Anolis sagrei: one gene and its partners. The protein of the gene in region 2 purifies or fractionates together with the protein of the main gene of each other region. This does not show direct contact. Links are inferred from orthologs where the notes say so. Each region holds a gene or a part of one and is shown on either strand. Other genes may lie near its edges.

The links. Proteins that work in one complex are often made in the same cells at the same time.
Region 1: the proteins of SNRPA1 (region 2) and DDX46 purify together in Homo sapiens (affinity purification with mass spectrometry; 3 studies listed by BioGRID and IntAct, counting the BioPlex papers as one, with this or other methods). This does not show direct contact. The link is inferred for Anolis sagrei from reciprocal best matches to the Homo sapiens genes SNRPA1 and DDX46.
Region 3: the proteins of SNRPA1 (region 2) and CDC40 purify together in Homo sapiens (affinity purification with mass spectrometry; 3 studies listed by BioGRID and IntAct, counting the BioPlex papers as one, with this or other methods). This does not show direct contact. The link is inferred for Anolis sagrei from reciprocal best matches to the Homo sapiens genes SNRPA1 and CDC40.

Annotation. Positions count from the first base shown.
Region 1 is NC_090022.1:91,475,222-91,478,974, forward strand, and holds the start of DDX46 (probable ATP-dependent RNA helicase DDX46), read right to left. Parts: upstream 2,351-3,753; 5' UTR 2,235-2,350; coding exon 2,218-2,234; intron 1-2,217. UniProt on the Homo sapiens protein: Component of the 17S U2 SnRNP complex of the spliceosome, a large ribonucleoprotein complex that removes introns from transcribed pre-mRNAs.
Region 2 is NC_090029.1:22,342,849-22,346,601, forward strand, and holds the start of SNRPA1 (U2 small nuclear ribonucleoprotein A'), read left to right. Parts: upstream 1-806; 5' UTR 807-887; coding exon 888-969; intron 970-2,722; coding exon 2,723-2,870; intron 2,871-2,985; coding exon 2,986-3,064; intron 3,065-3,666; coding exon 3,667-3,713; intron 3,714-3,753. UniProt on the Homo sapiens protein: Involved in pre-mRNA splicing as component of the spliceosome. Associated with sn-RNP U2, where it contributes to the binding of stem loop IV of U2 snRNA.
Region 3 is NC_090021.1:93,489,055-93,492,807, forward strand, and holds the start of CDC40 (pre-mRNA-processing factor 17), read right to left. Parts: upstream 2,687-3,753; 5' UTR 2,670-2,686; coding exon 2,478-2,669; intron 1-2,477. UniProt on the Homo sapiens protein: Required for pre-mRNA splicing as component of the activated spliceosome. Plays an important role in embryonic brain development; this function does not require proline isomerization.

The sequences.
Region 1 (3,753 bases), on a different chromosome or scaffold from region 2:
GGATTTGAATAACACGGCCCAACCAAAAAACATTTTTCTTTGTGTCTTGGCTTTTAGGCTTGTTCTTGGTGTTATATGTGGCATTGACTCAGAAAACTGCACTGGATAGACTGCATCAGCTCTAGTTTCTTAGTTGTGGTTATCATTATTTTCTATGGGTGAGCAGATGAAAATTGGTATATGGCATATATTCTGTATCTCAAAAACTAGAGCTGATAGCAGAAATCTGGGGCCAGTTTTGGAACGAGCAGATCAAATATACCAGAAACAGGACTAACAATGCACCAAAATGTGTGCTGGCCAAAGTAATGCATTCTTATTTACAGATAATTAATTACATTACACTAACAATGCATTATAATATAGGATCTCATCTACATTGACCATTTAATTCAGTTTCAAACAAAAATGATGTTGATGTGCAGATGATTTACACAGGAAATCCTGGTAGTAGTTTGAGGCCTGTATGGTGATGAAACAAACTACAAAGCACTGATGCACATTAAGGGCTTTCATTCATGCACTTTTTGGGGGAATTTGTTGTCCGGCTGCCACCTTTCAAAGCTAGCTTCAAACTGTATTAAACAATCAATTATGAACATGGACAGGCTGACATATTTGTCATCAACAAATCAAGGAAGAGCAAAAACTCAAACAGATTGGTAGCTATTTAAAGACTATTTTAAAAAGGAAAAGTTAAAAAAAAACAAATCTGAAGAAGAAATAAAGATATAAGAAAAATAGTCGTTCTTTAAGTACACATTGACAAAGAAAGGGGATGAAGGTGGAGACAAAATAGACTGCAAGAATATTGTAAGTAACATAACGAAGCAGACGGAAGTCAATATATATAAAGTTTTGTAAATGTGATTTTTCCCTCTCTCTACTTGATTCACTATCACTTTTCACCTTTTTCTGCTCACTTTTTTCTTTTTCCCCTCCTTTTTATTTTATATTATATATATATATATATATATATATATATATACATACATACACACACACGCACATATATGGAAAATGCTTTATATTTGTGTCTTTAATAAAAATATTTTAAAACAAGACTGAGTGCGGATGGGGTCTAAAGCTCCTTTCATACAGCTATATAAAATCCACATTGAACTAGATTATATAGCAGTGTGAACTCCGATAACCCAGTTCAAAGCAGATATTGTGAGATTTTCTGCCTTGATATTCTGGGTTATATGGCTGTGTGGAAAGGCCCAAAGTCATTAAAACATGTCTAATCTGCCAACCCAGGATGCATGGGTACCATGTGGCCTTCAATGATTACGGACAACTGACTGAAACAGTGAAGGGCTGCAGGATCCCTACTTCCTTGCGAGAAACAAATTAACATAACTTATTAATGTAATAGGAAATGACACATGAAGTCAGCCCTTTGTAAACACGGATTCAACCATCCATGGCTTTAAAATATTTGATTTTTTAAAAATCCTTTACTTTGCCATTTTATATAAAAGAACATCATTTTACTATGTCACTGTAAATCATGGGACTTGAGAGTCCATGGAGTTTGGTATCCAGCTTCAGTAACAAAGGGCCCTGCCACACAGCCATATAACCCAGAATATCAAGGCAGAAGATTCCACAATATCTGCTTTGAACTGGAATATATAGCAGTGTGGACTCAGCTATCCCAGGCCTGGCTGGCACCCTGCTCCCTCGCCCTTGCGAGGGTTGTGTGGAGACGGGGCCCTTTCTCATATCTCCTGGCGTAAATCACAATCTTCTGAAGGAGACGTTGTGGTGCCAAATCACCACCACCACCTCTTCCTCCTCCTTCTGTGTCTTGGGGCCCTGCCACACAGCCATATAACGCAGAATATCAAGGCAGAAGATTCCACAATATCTGCTTTGAACTTGAATTTATGGCAGTGTGGAGTCAGATATCCCAGTTCAAAGCAGACATTGTGGGATTTTCCGCCTTGATATTCTGCGTTATACGGCTGTGTGGAAGGGCCCCGAGACACAGAAGGAGGAGGAAGAGGTGGCGGGGGTGGTTTGGCACCAGAACGTCTCCTCCAAAGACTGCCATGTACACCAGGAGCGATGAGAAAGGGCCCCGTCTCCGCGCAGCCCTCGCAAGGCCCTGAGGGCCGGCCTGGCCCCCGCCTAGAGTGAGTGAAGGGCGAGGGGGCAGGGTCCCGGCCGGGCCTCAGAGGGATCCCCCAGGGGACACAGCCGCCCGCTCACCTGGACTCTCGCCCCATGGCGCCGCTCACGAAACACAGCCTCCTCGCTCCGGCTTAATCTCTCGCGGCGCAGCGACGTCTGCCAGCCATTTCCGAAGAACGACTGGAGCGGAAATGACGCGTCCCTCTACGCAAAACGCGAAGGAGGAAGCGAGAGACACCACCTCCCCACTTCCGGAAAGAGAGCGACAGCGCCCCTTGCGGCCGGAGGAGCCGTGTGCAGCCAGTGCCGGATTCCCCTTGCAGGGAATCTTGTGTTGCTTGGTGGCGGGGTGGGCCTTAAGAGTCCATTCCAGCTTAATGGGGACCCTAAGGGTGTAACTACACTGGAGAACAAGCATGGCTAACTTCAGCCTTCCAGGTGTTTTGGACTCTCACAATTCCTAACAGCCGGTAGGTTTTTCACACTACATGACTATGTTCTAGAAGCATTCTCTCCTGACGTTTCGCCTGCATCTATGGCAAGCATCCTCAGAGGTTGTGAGGTCTGTTGGAACTAGGAAAATGGGGGTCTATATATCTGTGGAAAGTCCAGGGTGGGAGAAAGAGCTCTTGTCTGTTGGAGGTAGGTGTGAATGTTTCAATTGGCCACCTTGATTAGCATTTGATGGCCTGGCAGTTTTTAAGTGTAGCTTGTTAGTGCCTGGGGGAATCTTTTGTTGAGAGGTGATTAGCTGTTCCTGAGTTCCCCTGTGTTTGAGTGTTGTTGTGCTGTTATAATTTTAGAGTTTTTTAAATACTGGTAGCCAGATTTTGTTCATTTTCATAGTTTCCTCCTTTTTGTTGAAATTGTCCACATGCTTGTCGATTTCAATGGCTTCTCTGTGTAGTCTGACATGGTGGTTGTTGGTGTGGTCCAGCATTTCTGTGTTCTCAAATAATATGCTGTGTCCAGGCTGGTTCATCAGGTGCTCTGCTATGGCTGACTTCTCTGGTTGAAGTAGTCTGCAGGGCCTTTCATGTTCCTTGATTTGTGTTTGGGCAATGCTGCGTTTGGTGGTCCCTATGTAGGCTGCATGGTATACGGTAGACTCCTGCAGAGGTGAGAGGATCCCTCTTGTCCTTTGCTGAACGTAGCATTTGTTGGATTTTCTTGGTGGGTCTGTAGATAGTTTGTATGTTGTGTTTCCTCATCAGCTTCCCTATGCAGTCAGTGGTCCCCTTGATGTATTGCAAGAATATCTTTGTGGATATTTGTCTTTACTCTCGTGGCTTGTTCTTGGTCTTGCAGCTCTTCAGATGTCTGAGGTGGAGTATCCATTGGCCTGTAAAACCCAGTTTAGGTGGTTCAATTAATCTTGGAGGAGGTGGGGTTCACAGATTCTTTTTGCACCATCTGCGAGGGCTTTAATTGTTCTTCTTTTTTCACTTGGGTGATGGTTGGGAGTTTTTATGTAGATATCTGTGTGTGTAGGTTTTCTGTCAACTGTGTGACCCAATTGGTGAAATTTGCCCATGCCTGCTGTAGAATGAATGTGGTTTGATACCACTCTAACGTGCCATGGCTCCTTGCTAAGGCATCTGCACTCCTTGGCAG
Region 2 (3,753 bases):
GACCCTAACCTTAACACAGACCACTGTGACCACCACCAATGACGGACCCTAACCCTAATAGAGACCACTGTGACCCCCACCCTAACCCTAACACACACCACTGCGACCCCCACCAATGCTAGACCCTAACCCTAGCACAGACGACTGTGATACACACCAATGACGGCCCTAACCTTGACCCTAACCTTATACCTGACCTTGACCCAAAACCCTATCTCTAACCATAACCACTGTGACCCCCTCCAATGTCAGATCCTAACCCTAACCCCTACCAATGACAGAGGGATCAGACGGTGCCATCCTGCCTGGAGGAAGTGGACTCTAGGATTCTATGATATATCGTATAATTTTTGCTCTCAGTCATGAATGGCCATCTATGCTATAAGGGCATGGCCATCTGTCTTTGATGGTGCCTTTTTTCATGGCTGAATACATACAAATACATGCAAACACATTTTATCTTCTTCTTTCTTTCATTTATTTTTCCCCCTTTCTTTCTTCCCTGAATTCCTTTGGGGAAAATATATAAAGGCGGTGCAATTTCCCGATACGGCCACTGGAGGGCGGTAAAGAACCATGCACTGGGCAAAAGGCGCCTCTGCGGCTTTAAGTACTGGAAGATCAAGATGGTGCAATTTTCGATGCGTCCACTGGGGGCGCAAAGGGGCCGGCCATTAGGAAGACACAACCCTCCCTCTTTCGGGGCAATCGAGGCCTAGAGCCGCGCGTGCGCAATCCAACAATCGCTTATCCGGCAGTCGAGGCCCCGGGCTGTGCATGCGCAACTCTACAATCGCTTTTAGGCGTCTTCAGGCTGCGCATGCGCATTTACAATTGCGCCCTGAGGCGAAAGGAGAGCGTGTGGTCGGTCGGTTCGGCTCGGGAAGATGGTGAAGCTGACGGCGGAGCTGATCGAGCAGGCGGCGCAATACACCAACGCGGTGCGGGACCGGGAGCTGGACTTGCGGGGTGAGGAGGCCGGCCGTCGTGTAGTGGCGGAGGCCTGTTTTGGGTAGGCCAGGAAGCCTCCTACGGGAGCCTGCGGGGGTCATGCTTCCTTGAGTAGGCCTCTCGTGGGGCCTGCGAGGCGTTAGCGTTGGCGCAGGACTTCAGGAATGGCATCGTTCGAACCCTATTGGAAGCAGAAAGAGGGAAGGACTTCAGGGTCTTACTCAGGGCGCTTTTTGGGACTGCAGCTTCCAGAATTTTTAAACCAAGGTTTCTCAAGCTGTCCTCCAGATGTTTTGGACTTCAGCTCCTACAATTCCTAACAGCTGCTAAACTGGCTGGGGTTTCTGGGAGCTGAAATCCAAAGCACCTGGAGAAGCACAGTTTGGGAAAAACTGCCCAGGCCCTGGGCAAACTTCAGCCCTCCAGGTGTTTTGGACTTCTACTCCCACAATGCCTGGGGCCCAAGTTTTCCCATGCCTGCATAAACTCTGTATTGACTTGATGCTCCAATTGAGAGACCACAATTAAAAGAAAATTAAGACCGATTTTGTAACGGCAGTATGCACTTTTACTTAAACGACAGCCAGTAATATACTTTTTGCCTTAGGGAACATCACTTACAGCGCGTCGGGTTCAAACTGACTTTTCCGCTAAACATTAATTGGTAGTGTTCCATTATTCAGGTTTACATATTTTATTTAAAGTATTATTTATTCAAAAAAAATTCCAGTTGCTTGTGTCCCCTTAATTGGGAATCTGCTGTACTTAAACCAATGAGCATTGCCACGTTATTGCTTTGGTAGAAAGTACAATGTGTGAATGGTTCTGTGGAAAGAATATATTTTTACTGTTTTGGTTGATTTTAACTGAATTTTTAGTGCTGTTTGTGGCTAATTCTATTTTAATTTTTGCATATTTATATATGCTCTCTATATATGATACACACAGACACTCATATATGTGTGTGTGTGTGTGTGTGTGTGTGTGCATTCATGTTGGAGCTAGCTATGGACAATGGAGATGAGCACCACCCCGCAGAGTCAAACATGGATAGACTTAATGTCAGGGGAAACCTTAATTGTTACCTTTATATAAATATGGACATGCCACTAGTTTTATCTACCCATGCCCCCACCCAAACCCTACTTTAAGGAATTAATCAATTTTTAATCTTTTTATCTTGTAGTTGCTCGATTATTTAGGAGTGGGTTGACAGGCCAGTAAGCCATGATGCCTTGTATTCATATATAGTTTTACTGTATGTGTATGTTTTGCATGTTTTGATATGGTCAAAATTGACTAATCAATAAAGAATTGTATATATTAAATTGTATACTAATGCTTTTGTGTCGCGCTGCTTTGAGTCCCCTTTGGGGAGATAAAGTGGGGTACAAATAAATATAATAACAATAATAATAATTTCTGTTTGTCTCGAACCTGCTGCCAGTCAGCCTGAGGCTGGATCTACACTGCCATATAATCCTTTTTCTGAGTCCAGATTATCGGCTTTGAACTGGATGGTATGAGTATACACTTCCATATGATCCAGTTCAAAGCAGTTAATCTGGATTATATGGTAGTGTAGATGAGGCCTAAGAGTATAATCCTAAACTCTATCAGAAATTTCTCAGATCTGCTTGACTGGATTGAAAGAATACTGAGACAATAGTGTACTGCCAGCTTTAGTTTAATGCAGACTCAAAATTGCCCTTTTCCATTAGTAACTAGGGCTATTTTTTTTATTTTTTTATTTTTGGTGATGCTTTATCAGGTTATAAGATTCCCGTGATTGAAAACTTGGGGGCTACTCTGGACCAGTTTGATAGTATTGATTTCTCTGACAATGAGATCCGAAAGTTAGATGGGTTTCCTTTGCTGAAAAGGTTGAAAACATTGCTGATGAATAACAACAGATTGAGGTGAGTGTGAAGCCTAAATACCCTCAAATTTAAGAGAGAAAGCAGTGCAATGTTAGTCTTTTCTAAATGTAATGGAAATGTAACCACTTTGCTTTAAATTTCTCTTTTATTTCAGCCGAATAGGCGAAGGATTGGAACAGTCTCTGCCCAATCTCAAGGAACTAATTCTTACAAATAATAATATCATGGAATTGGTGAGTGAAATAAAAGGCAATTTAAAAATGAATGGGAAGGAAGGGGAAAGCCCTTTGTTGTCACAAAGTCCTAAAGGAATAGCTGCTCTTCAGATATGGACCTTGATATTATTGAAACTGACAGTAAAAGTCAGAAAGGTTTGGAACCTTTTAAGTGACCTGCTCTTTTGTGTATGGGAAAGAGGCGGATATAAAAGTTCTTGTTATTTAAGGCTTTTATTTATATTTCTGTGTTTACACATAAGAGAGTCACTGAGAATCATAGTATAGCAACCCTGGGAGAATTTGGTGACTGAATACAATTTTTCCTTTATCCTGGGATGTGCTTTGGAATTCAAAAGCTTCTGGGAAAATACTCTTTTACTTTAACGGCAATGAAGTAAGGCTCAGATTACAATTATGTTTCAAACCGAGAATATGAAACAGGCTCTTAAATGATGGAGTCTTGCATTTACTTGATGCTCATTTGTAAGATAAGTTCCAGCTCTTGAAGGGCATACATTTCCAATGGACTGAATCTCTGTATCATGTGGAACTATAAATGTCGTAAATAAATTAAATAAATAACTAACTAATTTACTCTGCATTTTGTCTTGATTCAGGGTGATCTAGATCCTCTTGCAACTATCAAATCATTAACTTACTTGAGGTATAGATCTTCATTTATTATAGTCTCATCCTTTGTGAAG
Region 3 (3,753 bases), on a different chromosome or scaffold from region 2:
AAGCACTGCATGCTGTTGCTAATACTTTTGTGTAAATGGGTGGCATTCAGAAACCTTTCACTGTTTCCAAATGTTTCGGGACCCCAATATTGAGCGAATGGGATCCCATTTGGAATCGGAACCCACAGGTTAATAAACATTGAATTAGATTAGTTTACTTTTGGCCCTAGTATGCCATAGAGCTGCATTGCAGGGGCCATAATTCTTAGAGAAATAGTCTTTCTAGGAATTTGCTAAGTCATCCAACACAACTCTGGTAATTTATCATAGAATCACCTGGTGACCTATGAAATTCCTATGGAAACTACTTCCCCACAGGAATAGGTAAATGAAACTGTGGATACAGATCCTGTGGTTATGGGAGTTTTACTGAATATTATTATTAAATTTGCTAAATGGTTCGGGCCCAGACTATTTGGCTGACTGCATCTCCACATACGAGCCTGCCTGGGCACTGCAATTAGCATATGAGGCCCTGCTCTTGGTCCCACCCTTGACCCAAGCATGGCTGGTGAGAACGAGAGATGGGGCCTTCTTCGAACTACCTCCTTAAGGAGATCAAAATGGCCCCCTCCTTGCTCTCCTTCAAAAACAATTAAAGACCCTTTTATGCTCACAAGCATACATAGAGGAGAGGACCTATAAAACGTCTGGCACGAACAAAACAGAACGTAATATGGAAATGGTTTGTTACTCTGCCTTTAAATTTTTTAATGTTTGCTTCTTATTAGTCCTAAATTTTAAGTCTTATTTTTAGACTGCGAACCGCTCTGAGTCCCCTTTGGGGTTGAGAAGGATGGTATACAAATACCGCGAATAAATAAATAAATAAATAAATAAATAAATAGCTTATCAGTCAAAATGTTCATTTTTAGTTGTGTGGTGCCTAATTTGTTGTAATTTTTCACTATTGCCTGATGTTCATGTCTAATATGCTGTTATTTGATTTATTATTTGCTTATTTGTGGGGTTTTTTGGTCGCACTTCATGGCACTGAATGTTTGCTGCTATATGTTGTGAACTGCCATGAGTCACCATTGGAGGGATAGGGCAGGACAGAAATAAAATCTTTATTCTTTATTATTTTTTAACTTATGTGAAATCAGATTTTAATTTAATCTTGTTTCAGTCTTTTGGAAACAGATGTAGCCTGTTTGAGCACTAAGATCTGCTGGGGAGGTCCTGCTCTTGGTCCTACCACCAACTTCGCAAGCATAATTGGTTGAGATTAGAGACAGGGCCTTCTCGGTGGTGGCCCCTCATCTGTGGAATTCCCTGACTAGCGAGATCAGACTGACCTCCTGGTATTTAGGAAACAAATCAAGACTTGGCTATTCAAACAGGCTTTCGGAGAGCAACAAAAAGGGAACTAGAACAAGGCTTCCCAGAAAACATCAAAGAAACATCTCTCTCAATGGAAAACCACCAGTACAACACATTAAGATGAACCTGCCCATTCCTCTTCAGCAGGTCATTCTGGCTTTCAAACATATGTCACCGCAAATCTCTGCGTCGGGGGGATCATTTCAGGTTGACTTCCTGCCTGTGAGCCATGCAGGCAATTCACTTCCAGATACATATTTGAAGGCTTTCTCTGGCAGAATCACTGAGGTGTTGTGTGGTTTCCAAGCCGCATGGCCGTGTTCTAGCAGCATTTTCTACACATGTTTCATCTGCATCTGAAGGAGCCATGGTGGCACAATGGGTTAAACCTTTGAGTGGGCTGAACTGCTGATCTGATGGTTGACAGTTCAAATCCACGAGACAAGGTGAGCTCCTGTCTGTCAGCCCTAACTTCCCATGCGGGGACATGAGAAAAGCCTCTCACAGGATGGTAACACATACGGGCGTCCCCTGGCCAATGTTTTTGCAGGCGGCCAATTCTCTCACACCAGAAGTGACTTGCAGTATATTCTCAATTTGCTTTTGACACAATAATAAAGGAGGAAAAAAACACTATCTGCATCTGTGGCTGGCATCTTCAAATGATCTTCCAGATAATTTTGGCCTTCAGCTCCCAGAATCCCACATCACTAGCCCTGCTGGCAGAGGCTTCTGGGAGTTAAAGTCAAAAACAGGTGGAAGCTCAAAGCGTGCGATGCCCTAGTTACAGAAACTCCATGTCAATAATCTTTTGGAGACATTTCCGGAAACAGAAGCCGCGAGGCATTTATCAGGCTTAGGGTTCATCTTTTACACTGTAGGATTAATCCACTCCTTAACTGCTATGGCTCAACGCTATGGAATCCTTGTGAGGCACCAGCACTCTCTGGCAGAGGAGGCTAGAGATCTTGCAACACTATAACTCCCAGGATCCCCTAACATTGAGCCATGGCAGTTAAAGTGGTGTCAAACTGCACTGGGCCCAGAGCAAAGCCAAGGCTTCCAGCAGAGGCGCGTTTTTTCGTCCAGCGGGAAAGGCCCAAGCCCGCTCTCCGCGCAGAAAACTCGGCCAAGTCCTCGCCAGCCCTCCTTACCTTCACCGCCACGGCCGGGGCCGAGTCCACCGCGGGCAGAAGCGCTTGAGAGGCCGAGGAGGCCAGGTGCAGCACCGCATCCCCGCCGGCAACCCGCGCCGGAGGGTTGGGCCTACCCTCGGCGTCCGAGCCCGACTCGGAGTCAGAGTCGGAGCCGCCATACGAGGCGAGGGCAGCGATGGCGGCCGACATTTTAGCGACACCGGAAGTAGGCCGCCAACCGGAAGGAGCGCAAGCGAGGAGCGCCCGCCGGGTTCTGACAGCGCAGTGAACAACGTTCCGCCATTCCCCCACAATCACTTCAGGCCTCCTTCGCCTCGAACTAGTAGCCAATCTATAATGCTCATTTCTGACTTCAGTGAAAGAGGTGTAATTCACCCCTTACGCCACTTTTGAGGTTAAACGTTGTAGGACTTTCATCAAATACACAAATCCCAGTTGGAGGCGCTGACTTGATTCCCAGCTGCTGGTTTGTTGATAGGGATGTGCCACCCAAGGCTTACCTGAGAATAAACGTTCTTACATGTAATAGGGTTTCATTTTGAATAAACATATTCAGAAAGAACACTACGATAAAAGAAACGTTAACACATGTACTAACAAACTGGCTGTCCTCATACACAAAAATTGGGACAAATGCACCTCCAAGAGTTGACTGCCCAAGTGCGCTTCAAATTGACTGTTGATTTATAGTGGCCCCAAGAATTTCAAAGGTCCAAAAGCCACAACCACAAGTCAAGGGAATTTAGACACGGATCAAGAGGACCCCAGTTTTATATCTTGGTTCATAATGAAGGTGAAGATTCATAATGAAGGTGGGCTACAAGAATGAAAAGATAAGCAATTCAAGCTTGTGTTCTGTTTTTAAAACTATCCATGAGTATGTGTGTGCTTAAGCAACTTGTATTTCATAGGGCTTTCTTAGGCAAGGAACACTCACAAGATGGTCTTGCCAGTTCATTTCTTCGAAATAAACCTTACAGTTCCTGGTATTTGTTGGTGATCTCCCATCCCAGTACTAACCAGGAGTAACTCTGCTTAGCTTCCAAGTTTAGCTGGGACCTGATTCCTTTAGGTGTTTAGGCCTTTTAGGCACTGGGGAGAAGATAAATGATTATATGGCTTCGTATTATTAACACAATGATGCATTGTAAACCAAATTACACATTTGTATGTAGCTCCCAGCATCCTTATTCTGTAATCCTATGCACTTCTATGTTACTTCCAAGTAACAATTATCAGAATTGCACTGTCAAGACTATGTTCAAGTTCCCAT